2 linked regions of the Notamacropus eugenii genome follow. The protein of the gene in region 2 interacts with the protein of the main gene of each other region in a pairwise test. Links are inferred from orthologs where the notes say so. Each region holds a gene or a part of one and is shown on either strand. Other genes may lie near its edges.

Region 1 (9,956 bases), on a different chromosome or scaffold from region 2:
ATGTAAGTTCAGGCTAAACCCAAGGAGAAGTCAGTTAGCCAGAGGCCGAGGGTCTGGCTTCTTCCTCCCCTCAGGCGTGATGGGGTCATTCCCTGCCACAGCTTCTCTTCAGTACCTGCCAACTGCTTCCAGGACCACGTATGAACCTGTCCGGGCACCTGGTGCCTTCCAAAATGGCAGTCCAATCGGCTTGACCAATGGCCCCCTTTCCTGGCTGCTCCATTTCCTGCCCACACTGTGGACCCTGGGAATGTGGCTTCTTACAGGAAACCTCCATTGATGCCCCAGTAACTGGGGCCCTCTCTTTCCTCAATTCCCTGCATTGATCTGTTTGGGGAGGCTCTGCACACAGTCCACCTAGAACTGAACTAACAGGCTGCTCACTGGACCTGGTTCTGGGATGTGAGAGGCTCCTGTGGCACCCTGTTCTTGAGCCCTCCCTCCTGGAGCCCCAGGCTGAGCTCACCTCTTGCTGTTCCTGAACTTTCTGTCCCTCTGATGGCTCATCATCAAATGTCGGTGGGATACTGTTGTTAATATTAAATGTGACTGTGATCCTAAAGCAGAAAAAGAAGACCAAGGGGGTTCCACGTCTGGTACAATCTACTCCTCTGACGCTTCCCCTGGTACACACCAACAGCCTCCCTAGGCCAGTGTGTGGCCCATGGTGGAATGGCATGTTTCTGTCAGCAATGGAAGCAGAGGCCCAAAGCGCTGCTGCATCCCAGGGGCCTCCCGTCCTCCTTCCATAGCCAGTCTCTCAAGTTCAGCCCTTTCCCTCCAGCTCACCCTGCCCCCCCCCCCGAGGACAGCATGTTTTAGCGGTCCCTCTTTGGACAGCTTTCTCTGTAACTCCCCTCAGAGACACCCCCTTGAAAGGACCATTGTACAGTGGTGTCCCAGCAACCCCAGAGGGGTTCCACCATCTGATAACCAAGATTCCTTTCCAGCTCTGTCTGTGGTCGTAGGCCTAGCAATGAGTCCCTCCCAGTCCAGGCCATACTCACGTCTCGCCTGTTAATCTCCGGACTAACTTGGCCTCTGTCCCTTGCACACCCAGTTCCCAATCCCCAGACATCTTGGGGAGGGATTTGTGTTTCTGGATTTTCCTTTCCTCTTTAATTTCATCAGTCAGGAATTCAGCAAAGGCCTTGTCCCCTAAAATAAAAATGGAGACATGGGAAAGCTGCCTTTTAAACTCTATCATGGGTTCATGTTAAAGACACATGCAGAGACCCTTGGCATGGACAAGCTTTATCAAGATAGAGCTGGGTGGGGCAGTCAGAGATCATCATAGTGACAATATGGCCACACGCCCCACTCTGTAGCATGGGGAGTAGGGACTATAGATCAGGCCTGGATTCCCTCTCCCCAGCAGCTGTGAACATGAATCTGGAGTCAAGGCTGGCCACCCCGGTCAGGAATAAATGATAGGCGAGGAAGAGGTGCCCCCAGTGCCTCTGTGCACAACTCCTGACCCCCTGACCCCATCTACTCCTGAGAAGGAAGTTCCCTGAAGACAGGGCCTGCCTTCAGACCCAAATACCCATTTAGTGCCAAGATGAAAATGTAAGAGTCTCTGGACTCCAGGAGCATCTGATCACAGGAGGGGAACTGGACTGACACAAGTGTTAAGTCATTTATTATACAGCAATAGAGGGAGGGAGACTAGGGAATCAGCCCCATGAGGCAAGGGCAAAACCAGAAGGTTGGGAAAGAGAACGTCCCAGCAGTGAGCCTGAGCCTGCTAGAGCTACAGGGCTCAAGATGGACCCTAAACCATGGGACAAAAGGGAGGCATGGGAAAGAGACCCAAAGAGTCCAGTGCAGATAAAGGGATTCATGTACTAATATTTTGGCAAGTCACACTGCAGGAGGAAATGATCAACTTCTCTGGACTTTTGTCCAATGGGTGCCAGCTGACAGAAGCAGGAGACGTTAAGTGCACTGATACTGTTGTCGGTCTAGCTTTTCTTAGGAATCTTGCTACCTGGACTGGGGAAATCATTCATATTTTTCTCAATTTGAGACTGCCAAGTTATCTCCACAGTTGTGAAATACGACATCCTCCATCCACTTCCCTCTGACTTTGTTCGGGGGAGACACAGCATCTATAATGTCCACTCTTGGTCTCCCACCGAGGTGAAATCTGTTTGGAGATGACAGCTGACCCTCAGCACCTGCTAGACCACTTCCAGTGTTCACAGTGAATTTGCCAATCTTTCCTGAGTAGTTTGTGTTAACACAACCCCTGGACAGTTGTGTGCACTTATGGTAGCACTAGGCCCCATTCCACAACCTTAAGTTGTGGACTGAGCAAAGAGTGACTCACTGGATCCTGATGCTGTGGCTCACTTGCCACAGAGATGGTGCTGCTCAGAGGGGACAGAAGGCAGGGGCAACTGAAGCCAAAACACTCATTGTAGAGGAAAGCCAGATCCAGAGAGGTCAGGGGGCCACAGTCAAGGCCCAGCAATTACATTTAGGCAGAAGCCTCATTTAAGACACCCTGAAAATTCCGTCTCTGCCAAGTCTGCCCTGATTAAACAGAGGACCTGGGACAAATCTCCCTCTGTCCACCCTACCCAAACAGGCACACTAAGGGGAACCTGGTCCATTTAGGGTTAGAGTCCGATGGTCTATTTGTTTTGTTGGGCAATTTTGGGTCAGATGTCCCAGTGTCTAAATAAGGGGCAATCTAGAGAGACCAGCCCTAATCATTTTGCCCCTGCTAAGTTATGGATGAGGTGCCACATGCAATGGTGCCGCTAATTCCTTCATCTTCTACACTGATGAAATCTTAGGTCCAGTGGGTTCCCCTGAGAACAGAGATGCTATGGGGAGGGTGCAGAGTATCACAAGGCAGCCCAGTAACTTGATGGCACCAGCTTCTGCTTGAAGACCACCCACGAGGGATGCCACCTTCCACTTCTGGAAAAATGGGGAATAGCCTTTACCTCCCAAGGCCCTCAAGAGGCTCAAGAGTGAGAGAATATTTATAAGGTGCACAGTGCCTAGCACATAGGAGGTTTGCGATAATGTTCTTCCTACCCTATTCCCTCTCTGCCATAGCCATCAACTACCCTGGGGCCAAGCACAAAATCTCACATTAATCCAGTAGCTCTGAACTGAAAGAATCTCTAATCCTCTACAGAAATATCTCTGTGGGCAGAGACTAAACAACTTGACCAATGTAACAAATGAAACAAAAACCAAAATAAAAATATAATGTATGGGGTCCTAGGGTGTGATCATCCTTCATTGTGGAAGAAGACCACGCCAGCAGAGAAATAACGACACGACTTGCTCTTGACTTTGTTTTGAGTGAGGGAGGGCTGTGCAGGTCACCAGCCTCACTTCTCCTCCAGACCCATCTGAATCCAGTGACCTGATATTCCTCAGGATGACTGGAGATGACCCAGGAGGAGGCAAATTGGGGTTAAGTGACTTGCCCAAGGTCACACAGCTAGTGAGTGTCAAGTGTCTGAGGTGAGATTTGAACTCAGGTCCTCCTGACTCCTGCACTGATGCTCTATCCACTGCACCACCTAGCTGCCCCACGGGGTCCTAGTATTCATTAGGCAAATATGGCCACCAACCCACTCTCCGCCTATGAAGTGGTTTTTTCTCAACACTTATTTCTCTTAATCCCCTCTCCAAGCAGCCTTAGCTCCACTGCCACCACACCTACCCTCCCCGCCTGTTAAAGGCAGTAGCAGCATCCATTGTCTGTGGGAGCTGCCAGCATGTGGGTAAACTCTTGGGGCGCCAATTCCAAAGGCAGAATTGCCCGCTGGACTGGGCACCCCAATGCGCTGTGGATCGTCCTGGGCTCTGATGATCATTCAGCGTGGTTAGAGTTGGAAACCACAGACTTAGCAAAGTCGACAGAAGCCAGAAGCCAGATGAGTCTTGACAGAGAGAGTGTCGGATCGGGAGAGGACAGAAGGGCAGACTGAGCCAGGATGGCCTGGCAGTGGGAAGGCGAGGCAGCTACAAGCACTCCCCACACCAAGGGTCACCTTGAAAATAGGTCAGGGGGTTAGGGTCAGAGCCACGTGGGGCCTGCTCCCTCCGTAACTACCCGGGCAGGAGCCCCAATTCCAAACCCAGCCCTCGCCAATCCGAATAATCGGCGCCCCGAAAGCGACTTGACCGCCTTTGGGAAGGTGTGCGGATCCACGTGCGCACCCCATGGGGTCAGCGTGGGAGCCCCTCCCCCGCTCTCCCCAGGTCCCGGCCGCGCGCTCACCCTCGGTGTGGAGCCCCCCGCACGTGCACGAGCATAGGCCAGGGGCATTCCGGAGCGGCTGCAGGAGTCGGGGGCGCGCGGGCCCAGGCCTGCCGGCGATTCCTCCCCCCAGGAGGCCTCCGAAGGCGCGGGTGGCGGCGGCCATGGGGGGGCGCAGCGTCGGGAGGGCGGCGGGACGCAGGGCCCGGGCCGCAGGGCGCAGCAGCAGCGGTAGCAGCAGCGGGGCCATGACCGAGACACGCGGAGAGGCGTGGGAGCGCCGTAGGAGACCGGAAAGACAGCAGAGAGTGCGGAGCACGCCGGGAAATGCGCTGGCCGGAAAGGCCCAAGATCGTCCCGTTCCGGAAGTTCGTGCGCCACCTCGGAGGGTCACAGCGCCCCTCGTCGGGAGATGGTGATAGCACCAGTGAAGGTACTCAAGGACTGCACGATGATTGACTGGTTGCGACGCCACTACTGGAGTCACCCGACTCTAGAGCGAGGAGGGCCCGGAGTTTCCCCGAATGGCTCGAGACCGCGTATTCTCTGGACACGCCCAGACGTGAGCGCACTTTCCCCGCCTGTTTTCTGCCTTCCTGTTTAACCTCATTGTTTTCACCATCCTTTTGTCCGACCCTCCTCCGAAGGAGGCGGGGCTCCATTTCAGGCCAGTTTCCTCCAGAGGCATCCCCATTCTCTGTCACTGACCGCGAGCGCCCAGGTTACGTTGTATCTAACTTGCATGTGACCGAACTGACTTCGCTGCAGGTTAAGGTTACATTGTATCCAACTTGCATGTGTACATAATATCCAATATGTACGAGCCGGAAATGCCTGCGCTTCAGGCTAAGGTTACAAAGTATCCAACATGCACTTGTGGGAACTGCCTGCGCTTCAGGCTAAGGAAGGGACCGGGAGCGCCTAGCCTGGGGTACCTAGAATCCCAGCTACCTGGGACTGAGCTTAGATTGTATCCAGCCTGCCCGGATTGGTACCTCGGAAGGAGAGATCCTACATACACTCGTGTCCATCTCGGCAGTTGTGAGACCTACACCTCCATCCCACACGGATTGGAGGTATCCCATTCTGCTTAAATGAATGACAGTGTACCTGCATTATCCGTAGCTAGCAAGGACCCTGAAAATTCTCACTACCGAAGCTCTCACAATTCCAGAGGCCTCGGGAGGAAAGTCTCTGCCCACCACTGGAGACACTAATGCTGGGCTCAGTGTAAATGTGATGGGTTCAGACTCTGGGAGCCTTCTTGAATGTTCCCACTTAATCTGGCCTTTCTTATTCAAATCTAATCTTCCCATTTGTTCCAGCAGTCTCAGGAAGCCCTTGGGCTTTTCATTATCGCTGTGCACTGGTCTCTGTTGCACTCCCCACCCTTGATCCTATTAAAACCCCATTCCCCAGGCTTCTGACCACTCCCATCAGGATTCTCTCCTAGGTTTGATCTACCAAGACCATCCCTGCCAACACCTGGATGCTTCTCAGTCTTTTTCTGTATTTAAATTCCATCCCGATTCCTTGAAGGTGCTCAGATTCAATCCACCTCAGACTCTGTCTGAGATTCTATCTGGGAGAGTTACAAAAGCTTAGGCTCCTTGAGTCAACCCAGTATGGCAAATCTTTAATAAACTTTTTCTTTGGCTTTAAGAAAGCTTGAGTTGAATTCATTTGGGCAGGACCTGGCATGTCGGTATTTCAGGGTCCCCAGCACCCCTGAACCTCAACATATGGACAGTTTTTAGACATGGTCAGCACAGACTGGCTTGCTTGACCTATTGGTAACGGTTCTTTTTGTTTGCTTTGTACTTTCTCGATGGGCAAGGGAAGGAAGGTGGGATCTTCTTGGCAAACATACTGGAAAGGTTTGCCATTTCCTTCTCCAGCTCATTTTACAGATGAGAAAACTGAGGCAATTGTGCAGGGTCATATAGCTAGTGTCTGGGGCCAGATACTTCTAATCCACTGTGCCACTTAGCTGCCCTAATTTTACACACACACCCACACACCATAATATATAATACATGTGGTGATTGAGATAATCAGTAATGGAAAGGCACAAAGATTAAGGATGGCCCAGAAAGGCTTCTTGTAGAAAAGGGGATTCTAGCTGGGGCTCAAAGGAAGGCAAGAGACAGAACATTCCAGACGTGGGGGTGGAGGGTAGCCAGAGAAAATGCCAGACATATGGAGGGCCTTGTTAGTGAAACAGACAGGAAGCTGGGATCACTGAATCCAAAAGTCCAATTTGGGAAGTAAGGTATAATAAGACTGGAAGAGGGGGAAGGGCAGATAATGTAGGGTTCTTTGTGTTTGATCCTAGAAGCACTAGGGAGCCCCTGGAGTCTATTGGAGGGGGAGGGGGTTATGGGGGCAGAGAGCCTGCACTGAGCTTTAGGAAAACCATTTTAGTGACTGAGGGGAGGATGGACGGAAGTGGGGAACATTTGAAGTCCAAAGACACCCCCCAAACTGGCTACTTGGACAGTCCTGTGTACTGTAAGAAATGATGCAGGTGACTGGTAGGGAAGGCTGGGAAGATCTCTAAGAGCTAATGCAGAGACAAGAAAATGTGCAAATGAACAACCGCCCTCTGAGATCCATGAAAGCATGACCTGGTTTGATCTGAATTCTGCAGCTTCTCCTGCATGGGCACAGGGCTCTCACACAATGAGCTTTGTCCTGAAGCCTGGCACAGGGCTACGTATGGGTGAGTACTTCACTCCAATTATACAGAGCTGCCAGGGACCCAGGAGACTGGGGAAAGGCCTGGTGAAAGCAGGGGTGTGCACCCAGGTCTGCTAGGGTATGGCTGCTGCCTCCAAATATTCGAAAGCTCACCTGTGTAAGAATCACTTAGCAGCAGAAGCTGGGTGGTGGCATGGAAAGTGTTTTGGACTGTGGTTGAGGAAATGCTGAGTCCAAGACCTGCCTCAATCCCTGCCAAAGTCACATCAACTCCGCCAGCCTCCATTTCCACAGCACAGAAATGGGAACAATGACAGAACCTAGACCAGGCTTAAATGAGATGAGAAGGTGGGTAGATATAAAGCACTTTGCCACCTGTTACCACCAGCAGCCAGAAATGAGCAGACAGAAGAATTTCCTCAGGCTCCACAGCTCCTGGCAGGGAGGGGCTTGGAGCCATGACCCCAAGGCCTCTCCACCCACCCCACCCCCATCACCTCACACCTCTCTTGGCACCAACTTTGGCAAGGCCCCCAGAGGAGCCCAAGCTAAATGAATGAGGCCATGCAGCGGCAACATCTCCTTCCTAAAAATTTTACAAAAGTCAATTTATTGCATTTTCAATTGAAAAACTGTATATGGATAAAAACTAGCCAACCGTGGCAGATTCCTGCCCACTAGCCAGTAATGAGCACAGCTCAAGCCTTTGCAGCAGTTTCCAAAGCCATCCCATAACAGGCATGGAATTCTGACCTTCCCTTTCTGCCCCAAGCTCTGAGGCCGCCAGTTGCCTCTCCCATCCTGGCCAAACGTCGGCCTGAGCCACGAGGCTTAGCTGCGGGCGGCCCGCATCTTTCTGCGGAAGTACTCAGGCGCAGCATCATAGAGCCAGTCTGTATCGACCACGCAGAGGTCCCTCATGTAGCACTTATTGGTGGACAGCAGCTCATTGTAGGTGACGCAGGCTGGTTTGCAATGGAACAGCACAGAGGACGGGTGGATGGATACTGGTTGGCGGGTATCCACGGTTACATAGGTCCCATCAGACTGAAGCTCGGCAGTGTTCATGAAAAGGCCATGCGCCAGGCATCGACGAATGTTCCCCGTGTCTGCCCGTGAAGATTCGATTGGCATCGACATCTGTCGAAGAAGAGGAGAAAGATGACTCTTGATGACCTAATTCTCCCCATCCGACTGAGGTTCAGGCCAAGATGCTGAGCCCCAGCTGGCTGGTGCACAGAGGGGAAACTTAGGTCCTTTTCCTCCTCATGCCAGCATCTGTCATCCAAATGATCCATTAAAGAGCAAGGTGCTATCCCAGGGAGTGACCCTGGGGAGCAGGAGACGTTCCTCCCCACATTGTGCTAATAGGAGACAGGCCCTACTGGGAGTGCAGGTGAGGGGTAGAGACCCTAATCATTTCAGCCAAGAACCAACTAAAATTCCCTAGAGAATGTCCATCTGGGAAACTACCAAGACTGAAATTCTCAAGATGCCAAAAGAACCGATCCTGCTGAGAAGGAAAAGTGGTCTAAAGAGCTCGCCCTCAATGCGCTGAGGCTGCAGACATGGACGGAAGGAGGAGGCAGGTGCTAGAGGTGGTGGACGCCTGCCTGAGCTCTGCCAGCCCTGCATCTGGAATGCCAAGGCTCTGCCATGAGCCTGGCCTGTGGAGGAGTGGGAATGTGGACAAGGGCAAGCCTTCTTCCAACTCCACATAGGAAGTAGCCTCCAGTGAGTGGGAGGAGGCTCAAGGAGTCAGGTCTGGTTAACTGGTAATCCCCACCCCTACCTTCCTTCACCCCTGGAGGGTCAGAGGAAGGTCAGAGGATACACATGACTGTAAGGGACCCCAGCTGCTCTCCATGAATTCTAAGCACCCTCAGGCTGATAACATGAGGGCAGACCGTGGTCAATGACCTCTAAAAGATGATGCAGAATGGGGTGGGGGTGGCGCCAGCCTCTCCCTTGCTTACATTTGGCTGAAGCCACCCTGAAATCTGCCTGACCTTTCTCTTTCAGGTCACAGTCTAACAGAGGGTGTGAGAGAAGAGGATGGCCTGTTCCGAAGGGGAGTCTGCTGCTACTACCCCTTCGCTAATCTTGCTGGACTGCCTTTCTTCCATCCCATGGGATTTTTCAAGGAGTTTCCTCCTGACATCCAGCCTAGGAAGGTCATGCTGCCTCCTGGGTCAGGCCCAGAGAACAGAGCTGTACTCAGTACTGGGTCCACGGATTAGGAAGGGTGAAGGTCAGCAGAAACATGTCCAGAGGAGGATCAGCCAAGAGAAACCTGGATGTTCAGTCTGCCAGAGCTTTAGGAGGGGCCCCAAGGACATGAAGAGCTGAAACACAGACTATTTCAGCCAAACCAGAGCAGCCCCCAAACAGGAGGGACTGCTAGTGAGGTGGCACCCAGGAAGTCATCAGCTCATGGCTAACCCTGATTTCCTCAAGACTATGAGAGTTAAGCTACACAAAGCCCCTCTGGCCTAAAGGAATGACCACTGTGCAGTGGGGCTACTTTGTGGGGGAGCCACGCCTTAGAAGTGAAATGTGGGGGAAGGCCCCACATTACCTTGGTACAGATGTCCCGGAGCTGGGCTCGGACTTCTGCCACCAGCATCATGTTCTTGCTGTTGACAAAATTCTCTCTGCACCATTCCTGGGGATCAGAGAAAAAGCGCACATCCCTTAGCTTCCTGGAAGCAGGGTCTACTCAGGGCAGGGCACACCCTGCACTGGGGCTGGAGGGCAACCTGCTCTCTGGGGACTGACCCACACAGGCCATGAGCAGATGGAGCTAGCTGATAGAGCCCTGGCACTCGGTCCTCCCTCATGACCCTTCCCCTGGCAAGGGCAGTTAGCAAGAGGTGTCATGTCCTTACACGGAGCAGAGACTGCCAGGACTGGTGCCAGGACTCCAATCCTACAAACAACATACACTAATGTCCTGTCACAGTGATCGGCATTAGGACAGGGCCTGGCACCCAAGAAGCAACGAATAAATGTGTACTGTCTGCCT
Region 2 (10,091 bases):
GCTATGAACAGAAAACCTAGCAAAAACACATCTAATTTTAACAAAGAGCTTTATTTCACAGGTCAAGTTTATTGATTGTCCATTGACTAAGAGGTCTCTTCTATTCATATAATTTAACTCAGCTCTACCATATGATTTTTTTTCTTCTATTAGGATTTGTGGGTGTAAAAATTTAATATCACAGTTAACTATTTTGAACTATTGGAATGCTTATCAATGATATTTACTTTACACACCAGACAAAGAATTTCAATGAGAGTTTGATTCTAAATTAACTTTTTCCATGTAAAACTCTAAAGACCAGATATAAAAATAAAAGTTCTAATAAATTAAAAGATTCAATTTTCAGTAAAAAACATATGTGTCACTGAAAATGGAGGTAAGTTAAGTCCCTGTCCAAAAAATAACATTTCTTGATGTTAAAATATGGAATACTGCTATTATGATAGTAATTAGCATATTAAAATCTGATATGCCATAGATTTAAATTCAATTTGCAATGGTTGTAATATGCCTAATTCTTGAAAACGGTTTAAACAGGTTTCTATCTTGTAACAAAATTACAATCTGAGCTCATGACTTATTTGGTTCCATACAAAATATTGCTATATTCATAAATGTAGTATTATGGTTTTATTGAGCCAGAACAATGATGAAAAGACTGGTGAGAATGTTGAGAAGGCCAAAATCTCATGCAGTGTTAGCTCATTTGGCACATGTTGCTAAAACAGAAAGGGATACCATGTAAACTGAAATTATATGCCTTGGTAAGTATGATTATCAAAATGAATTAATAAATAGGAAAATGAAAGATTGTTCTAACATGTATTTTAAATTGAAGATTGATTGTGAACACAGTCATCATCACATGCACTAACAAAACATGTAAATGTGTTTTATCTATAAATAATATGAATTTTTCTTAACTTAAACTCAAAGTCATTTTAATGCATATTAAGAATCAAATGTAGGTAGGGGGGTCAATTAACTATGATTTTTAAAAATACCACTTGGGTAGAAAACTCCTCACAAGAATTTAGACAACACTCTTCTCTGACTTCAGTGTGTGTGTGTGAGTGTGTGAGAGACAAGAGACCAGACAGAGACAGACACATAGAGGGAGACAGAGAGAGAGAGGAAAGAAAATCAGGGTTGAGGTCCTTGCTCAGGATCACAGAACTAATAAGTGTCCACTCGAATATATTTTAAAAGGTTAGAATAAATTAATTTAAATGAAGAATCGTGTAGTTTTATATTTGCCCTTACTAAGACCTCTTTGCCAAAAACCTTGTCCTTTTCTGAGTGCTTGTCTTTTATAAACTGGATGAAGTAATCTGTATTGTAATGTTTTTTCCTGCCTTGAAAATCCTAAAAGATGTATATTATCAGTGGTTCCAATTTTGGAAATACAGTATTAGGAATTCACTGAGGCACAACCCAGTTCCTTTCTCTATGCTGGATCAGCAACTGTGAGTGCATAATGCAAACCTTGCATTTCACAGCCCTTTTCAATAAAGGGCTGGCACATGCAATTTGATCACTGATCAAAGAATTAGACAAGCAAGTTCATATAAAAGGGACTAAATAAATGGCATCTACAACAATTATCAGGCAAAAATCAAGTTTTTAGTTTAAGGACCACATCAGGGGATTTTGTATAGTTACAGAAAGGGAACTTCTATAGTTATAGTTACTAAGGAAGAACTCTGATAATCTCCAGAAACAAGGTCCACTTACAGGGATCTGCATTTGCTAAATTTACATTTTTTCAACACCTGATCAGCTATTTAAACAAAAGAAAGAAACATTAGGCATTTGCAATGAAAAAAAAATCTGTGATTTGTATAACATTCTCTGATTAATAAATGATCTACTAAATCACTTCACTCCTTTGAACTGTGGTTTCCTGTCCACATTAAGTTTTCACATACAAATAATGTTCTACTGGAGTGAAAACTCAGAGACAACAAAGTCCAATACCTACCACTTTAATAATATTCCAAGGCTGTAATCTTGGGACTTGCATTTTCAAAAGTACTACACAGAAGCTTAACAAGATAATGTCACAAAAACAAATGCTTTGATTTGCTCCTGGAGTCCAAGATATTCCTAAATGAACACAAAGCCTTTAGACTACTAAAGCCAACCAAAATTCTTTAAAATGAATCTCATAAGAATTGTAAAGTAATAAGATAGTGCAAAAACTTTCCTAGACAGAGGAAAAGAGACTACCAAAGCTGTTAAAATCAACTTTTAAAAAGTTGATTTAGGAACTTACAATAATGTTAATCATATTAGTTAGGTACCACTTAATATAAAGTTTCATACTAACAGCAGAGGGCAGAGAACACAAATCTTCATTTTTTGGAATAACACATAGAGTAAGGTAAAGAATTAACCTAAAGTTAAACAAAATGTTTTTAATCAATGGAAAAAAAATCTACATTAGCAGAGTTTTAACTTAACTACTTGATAATGACCTCACAGGTACCATATGAGCAAAATGGCATAGTACATAAACACAGCTTTCAAATGTCATCCCTAACTGGCATGCTAAAAATACTTAGTGACACATTTAGACAGTTTTGTAAAGGAATGTAACTAACAGTAAAACGATAGCTCTTGATTATACTTCCCAGGTAAAAATAATTCGTTATTATCTAGTGCCTTCAGACAAATTCTTAAAGCTTAAATTAGGCCAAATGACTCAGTGCTACTGATGTATGATTCCTTATACAAATGGACCTAGGGTCACTACAGTAGACAGCATGCATGCCTATGGATAAATTGAAAAATCTACTCCATTTCACTTTCTTTCATATTTAGGAGATTGCCACATTAAATCCTCTCATTTTAAACAGAAAGCAAATAGAGCAGTAGCTTTCTGCAAACCTCATAGCCATTGCCTGAATTAGACTGTGCAGAAGGCAAAAGTGGTTGATTGTCTTGTAGAGTTAAAGGTCATCGATTAGTGCACATTATCAGGAGGCAAGGCGAAATAATGAAATACATTTACTTTGTAGAAATATTAACACATCAACCTGGAGTCCTGATTTTCTACTTGCTACAAAGAAATAAGGCATCTCAACAACATTATAGAATCATTTTTGAATACACTCGGGTGGAGTGCAATCTCTCTAATATATCAGCAACAGATTGACATAATCCAAAATTCAAAACAAAAAACGCTGTCCATGACTGTACGTCAAATTTTAATACCAGATGATAATAGAAAACTTGCATAATATTATTTAAACTACTGAATCCCCCGGTGCCAACTTAGCACTCTAGTGAACTCTAGGCTGTGCCTTGCGCGGATGCACAGCCCTAACAAGTCAGCCAGGGATTGGTTCTGAACCTCAGGTAGCTTGAAATCAAATACTTTTAATGCCACCCTTACTATCTACATTCTCCCTTTTCAAAACAGAACTTAGCTGCTCAACATCATTCCATTACTTCCATACTTAACAGGTATCATCATTACCAGGTTGCTCCAGATAATCCAGGCTCTCATGTCAGCCCAGAGTCTCAAAAGTCTTCTTCGTTCCTTTCCCCCTTCCAGTATCCTCGACTCTGGGGCTACTTTTATCTCTGCCTCTCAAAGAAGAAATTCTCTACCTCCTCCCCCGCATTTAAACCAAAAGAAAGAAAGTATAATTTTTCCCCTCCAATTGTCCTTGGCAGAATTGGGGGTGGGGTTCCTTTGGATTTTCCAGGTCTGTCTCCACACCTCATTCTGCTAGCCTTCCAAACCCACTTTTGACACCCCTAACCCCCGTGCCCAGCTTTTCAGAGGGATGAGAGGGAGAATGCGATGGGAGAAAGGCCCGAGATGACGTCCCTCTTTCCCATTTTTCTCCTATCATCGTCTGCCTGCAGAGTTTCCACCGCAGCCTCAATACTTCCCTTGCTACCCTCGTGGGGGGATGGAGGTGGGGGTGGGGCGGAAAAGAACGGGGTCCTAGAAGATGTGACCATCCAAAGGGGGGATGGCTGCACACATTATGGTCCACAGATGGAAGGGAATACTATTGTGCCGTAAGAAACGGTGAAGGGGACGGGGCGAGGTTCGGAGAAACCTGGGTAAGATTCGTTTGCACGGGTGCGGGGCGACATCAGCAGAACCCTAAGGACGTCCCAAAGAACCGCGACACGGACAGACAGACAACTTTGAAGAGTTAAGAACTCTGCTAGACCGCGATGCCGGAGGCCCGGGATGCGGGAGAGCTACGCTTTCGGCCGCGGCCCATGCGGGAGCTTCCGGCCGGACTCTGCGGATCTCTCGCCACCAGGGAGGGGGGCGGAGGGGGAAAGAGGGTGGGCAGATTGGGGATAACTAAAAAAGGAGAAAATAAATAAACGGGGAAACGCTCCCGCAGCCGGCCGGGAGGGAGGGGCGTGGGCGTACCGGGCGGCTGCGGGCCTCCCCCAAAGCTGTCGGGCTGGGAGAAGGGGGAGGAGAAGATCTTGCGGTCTTTCTGGGACTCCCTCCGGCCGCCGCCGCCTCCGCCGCCGATGCCGCCGCCGCCGCCGCTCAGCCGGAGTCCCGCAGCCCCCGCCGAGGCGGGCCTCCGGCCCCCGCCCCCGCCGCCCCCGCCGCCGCCCGCAGCCCCCGCCGCCTCGTCGCGCTTCTTGCGCTGCTGCTGCTGCTGCCGCTGCCGCTGCCGCTCGGCCTCGCGCAGGATGTCGAACGGGTCCGACTCGTCGTCCAGCAGCTGGTGGAAGCGGTTGGCCACCGCGCAGCCGAAAGTCTCCTGCATCGCGGAGGTGGCGGCTGCGGCGGCGGCCACCGGGCTGCCCAGAGCCCCCTTCATGGCCGCTCCCTCCTTCTCTCGACTGCCGCCGCAGCCGATGCCAGTCTTTAACGGAGCTGGGAGCTCAGCCCCATCCCGCAGCCGCCCCCGCCGCCGCGATGGCCCTCAGCCCTCCGCGGTCCCCGGCCCCACTACCCGCACCCCCCCCCCCACAGCCAGCCGCCCCCGTCTCCCCGCCAGCCGCCGTAGATGTCCCAGCTCTGGAGGCCCCGCCCTCCAACCAATCAATGGGGTTGGTCACGCCCAGACCCTCCGTCACGGCCAATCGCCTGCCTTCTCCTGTCTCGTCACGCTAACTTTCCGCCCCGCCTCGGTCCGCCTACCAGCCCCGGGGAGGAGGTATTGACTCCAGGGGCGGGGCTTGGGGCAGTAAAATGAGAGAAGCGTGGTTTTAGCTGGGGTCGGACAGGTTCCTCCCGCTAGTGCAGTCCGAGCTCTTTGGCCGTTCTTTAGAGGAGAGTGGTGGCTGGACTCTCGAGACTGGTGATTTGCGTGAGGGGCCTCTAGTGAGCGGGTTTTTGTTTTATTTTAACATCCATCCAAGTTCATCCCTAGGAGAGGGGAAGAAGTACTGAGGTCTGAGTCTCGCTGGTGCAAAGACTCTGTGCCAACCGTCCGGTCTGCTGGACTGTAGTTAAGGGCCCTGCCAGCTCTGAGCCCAGCCCCGACTCCTTCGGTGCTGGCCAGCCCTGCCAGCTCTGAGCCCAGCCCCGACTCCTCCGGTGCTGGCCAGCCCCGCTCTCTTTACCTTTGTAAGGTAACCGTGGAGTCAGTCTGGCAGTGTGCAGCAGATGCGCGTAATCTGTGTGCTTTCACAACTGCATCCTGGAGGAAATGTCCCTTCCGTTTGTTTTCCTTCTCTTTAACCCCAGGTTACCACAGTCTGGCTTCTGTCCACTCCTGTTCCTAAACAGTGAAAAAGAATTCTGGAAGAAATCCCCAAACCGAGCCTGACTAGCGTCACTACAGCTTTATTCCTACCTGACCTCCGCTGAACCTAGTACCAGTACATGGCCACCCCTTTATTTATCTCATTGAACCCAATCCACCGCATTGGCGATTCCAAATCTCTTAAGTCCCCAGCTTTACCAATACGACTCCAAGGAAATGACCTTGTTTTTACTAAGACCTTGGGAGCCATTCATTCAATCAACATGTGTTTCTTAAATACCTAGTGTGTGCAAAAAAAGAAGGCTGAGCGCTTTCAATAATCTTTTCCTCTCTTTCCCTCCCCCTAAAGCTTCCAGTGTTTTCTTTCACCATTCAGTACCAGGGGTTGAAGGGGCCCTCCTCCTTGCCAAACCTAACTCTTTTCTCTTGATCACGACCACTCTCAGATCCTTTACTGCGTCAATCAATCCCAATTTCTCTCATGTGTTCTTCAATAATTTCCCCGACATTTCTGAATCTGCCACCATATTTCTCTAGCCTTCACTGCGGTAGAGTCTACACTCATCGCTTCCACCTTCTTGGCACCCAATCATTCTTTAAACCCTTTTAATTTGGCTTCAGTTCCCATCATTCTATGAAATTGTTCTGTCCAAAGTCATCAGTAACCTCCTTATTGCTTATTTTCAGAACTCAGCTCTTTTAGCCTCATTTGCAGCATGAATTTTCTTATCAATTTCATTAACTGTCATCAATCTGCCAAAAAAAAAAAAATTAGAAGACAAGCTTTATTAAGGTTGGAGGCCTATGCCACCAGTAGATGATAGGGAATGACTTCATTCACAATTCAACAAGCAATTTTATGAATTGTATGAAAATTATATGAAACAAAAAATACAGCTGCTCATTACAATACAGCTGGTCATACAAAGAAAAGATAATACACTATTGTATCATATTGACTTTGCAGTCCATAAAAGACTGCAGATCTTTTTCAGATAATATACTTAGCTAAGAAGACCTGCCCTATCTTAGGAAGTTGATTTTTTAAAATACAAGTGTAAGAATTTACACATATCCTCATAAAATTAAACCACATCACTTTTGTCCTCATGTCCAAAATCTTTGTGGTGCTTAATTCATTCAACATGTTAGCTACTACTCCTAGCTTTGGTTCATTTGCAAATTTCACAAATATGCCATTTATCTCTTTACCCATGGCAATGATTAAAATGCTAAGTTCAAAGAACTGATCCTTGAGGTACTCCACTAGAGAACTTCCAAGTTAACGTACAAACAATAATTATTCTTTAGATAGGGGCATTCAATTGGTTCTAAATTCACCTGACTATGATCATCTAACCTATATCTCTCTAACTTGTCTTCAAGGACAGTATGAGAAATTTTGTCATGTGTTTTCTAAAACCCAGGTAAACGAGGTATCTCTAGCATTCCTCCAATATAAAAGTCTAATAATGCTGACAAAAATGGATGACCTGTCCTTGATTAAGTCGTGTTGGTTGTTAGTGATTGCTGCTTTCTTTTCTAAATGTTCACTAACTTTAAGAACAGCTCCTTGAATTTTACCAGAATCAGTCACACTCACCTGTAGTTTGCAGATTTCATTCTCTTCCATTTTTTGTAAGTCATTATAACATTTGGCCTTCTCAGATTATACAGGATCTCTTCTAGTCTGCAAGATCTTTCAAATATCATTGACTGATATAGCAGTCATGTCCACCTATTCTTTCTTAGTTCTAAAGTGGGATATAGTTCTTCTACATGGTGACATGGAGATAGAATCTAGTTCACCCTGAAGTACAATTCATTTGGACTGGTGATTAGAGGTCATCAAAAGCAATGTACTTTGACAATCTCCTTGTTTGTCTTGGTTGTCAACTTTAAGTCAATTTTGCTTTGTCTTTTCTGATCCAAAGATCATTCTTCTTGGTAAAGAAAAAAAAAAGAAAACAGAAAAAAGCTGAGTGTTTTTTTCTTCTTTCCAATTGTTGTATTTTTCTTCCATTTTGATTAGCAGTCCTGTTTAATCATCTTTCTTTTTTGCCAGTATAGCAAAAAACAATATTAAAAGAATCCTTTTTTCTTCTCACTTTCCTCACCAAACCTTAGCTCATTCAGCATTCCTGACACTATTATTATAGCGGTATAGGGAGCAGCTAGGGAGTTAAGTGGATAGAGCCTTGGAGTCAGGAGGACCTAATTCAAAGCCAGAGTCAGACACTTACCAGTTGTGTGACCTTAAGCGAATCACTTAACCTGTCTACCAAAAAAAAAATAGAACTATGGCATATTTTCATATTCACCTTATTATCTGACTTGTACTTCTAACTTCTGCACACACATTAAAAAAATTCTAAATGGATTGCTGTGTTTGCTATGCGTTCACATCATCTTTTTTTTTGGAAAACTCCTTTCTCCACTTGGTTAGAATCATTTCTCTTCATGTCTGTGCACTTCATTCCTGAGCATATAGAGCAAAATTCTACACAATTCCACTCTCTCTTTTTTCATCCCCACTTTTCACTTGTCTTTCATTTCTCCCTATCTATTGGATGCTTCTCTGCTGCCTATGAACATGCCCATATGTCTCTCCCCCACACCCCATGCTCAAAAAGACCATCACTTGATCCATCCAGCCCTAATATCTATCATACTATATCTCTCCTCCCTTCTGTAGTTAAACTTCTTGAGAAGGGTATCTAGAATTGGTGGCTCTACTTCTCAATCTCTTCTAGACTCTCTATAATCTGACTTCAACCAAAATTGTTCTTTCCAAAGTTACTAATAATTTCTTAATTGCTAAATCGAGTGGTCTTTTCTCCATCCTTTGTAACCTCTGAGCAGTTTTTAATTATCAGTCACCTTATTCTGCTTGATATTCTTCTCAGTAGTTTTTCATGATACACACTACTCCCTCTTGATTCTCATTCTATCTATCTTACCCCTCCTCAGTCTCTTTTGCTTGCTATTTATCTAGGTCACACCCATTAACAAGCAAGATACATGTGGGTATCTCACAGGGCTCTGTCCTGGGTCCTTTTCTCTTCTACTTCTGTAATCTTTCACCTGGTGATCTAATCAGTTCCTATGGATTTAATTATCATGTCTATGCTGATGATTTTTTTCATTTTTAATATATTTCATTTTTTCCCCAATTACATGTTAAAACAAATTTTCAACTTTTTTTTTTTAATTTTTGAGTTCCAAATCTATCTCTTCCTCCCTTCCCTCTTCCATGAGATGGTAAGCAATCAGATATAGGGTATACATATGCATTCATGTAAAATATTTCTGTATTAGTCATTTTGTACAAGAAGATTTGAATAAAAGAGAATGAAAGGTAGAAAGTGAAAAATAGCCTACTTCAGTCTGTATTTAAATAATATCAGTTCTTGCTTGCCTTGGGTCATACTGCTGAGAATAACTAAGTTATTCACAGTTCATCATACAGTATGGCTGTTACTGTGTACAGTGTTCTCCTGTTTCTGTTCACTTCACTTTACATCAGCTCATATAAGCCCAGGTTTTTCTGAAATTAGTCTGCTCGTTATTTTTTACAGAACAATAATGGTCCATCACACTCATATAGCACAGCTTGTTTAGCCCTTCCCCAATTGATGGGCATCCTTTTGATTTCCAATTCTTGCCACCACAAGAAAAGGTGCTATAAATATTTTTGTACAAATAGGTCCTTCTCTCTCTCTCTTTTTTTTATATCTTTGGCATATGAACCTAACAGTGATATTGTTGGATCAAAGGATATGCATAGCTTTATATCCCTTTGGGTATAATTCCAAATTGCTCTCCAGAGTGGTTCAACCAGTTCACAACTCCACCAACAGTGCATTAGTATCCCAGTTTTCCAACATTACCTCCAACATTTATCATTTTCCTTTTCTCAGTCTGATAGGTGGGACCTTCAGAGTTATTTTAATTTATATTTTATATAATATATATAATATAATATATATAATATATATTTTAATTTATATATGTCTAATAATTATTTAGATATTTTTCTTGTGACTATAGATAGCTTTGATTTCTTTGTCTGAAAACTGCCTGTTATCTTTTGATCATTTATTAATTGGGGAATGACAGTGTATGTTTATCAATTTGACTGTTTTTCTATTTATTTAAAAAATAAAGCCTTTATCAGAGATACTTGTTGCAAAAAAATTTCTCCCAGTTTTCTGCTTTCCTTTTAATTTTGGTTGCATTGTTTTTGCACAAGCAAAACCACAAGCAAAAACTTTTAAATTTTATATGATCAAAATTATCGATTTTACATTCTGTGGTGCTCTCTATATTTTCTTTAGTCCCAAATTCATCCCTTATCCATAGAGCTGGCAGATAAACTATTCCATG

Evidence for each region.
Region 1: the proteins of HABP4 (region 2) and C1QBP interact in a two-hybrid assay, tested with the Homo sapiens proteins (2 studies listed by BioGRID and IntAct). The link is inferred for Notamacropus eugenii from reciprocal best matches to the Homo sapiens genes HABP4 and C1QBP.

What each region holds. Positions count from the first base shown.
Region 1 is NC_092877.1:389,109,248-389,119,203, reverse strand, and holds the start of C1QBP (complement component 1 Q subcomponent-binding protein, mitochondrial), read right to left. Parts: upstream 4,784-9,956; 5' UTR 4,482-4,783; coding exon 4,253-4,481; intron 1,159-4,252; coding exon 1,008-1,158; intron 558-1,007; coding exon 467-557; intron 14-466; coding exon 1-13. Other genes in the region: ATP-dependent RNA helicase DHX33, read right to left, coding at 7,763-8,071, 9,510-9,596.
Region 2 is NC_092874.1:327,441,546-327,451,636, forward strand, and holds the start of HABP4 (intracellular hyaluronan-binding protein 4), read right to left. Parts: upstream 4,910-10,091; 5' UTR 4,815-4,909; coding exon 4,409-4,814; intron 1-4,408. UniProt on the Homo sapiens protein: Ribosome-binding protein that promotes ribosome hibernation, a process during which ribosomes are stabilized in an inactive state and preserved from proteasomal degradation.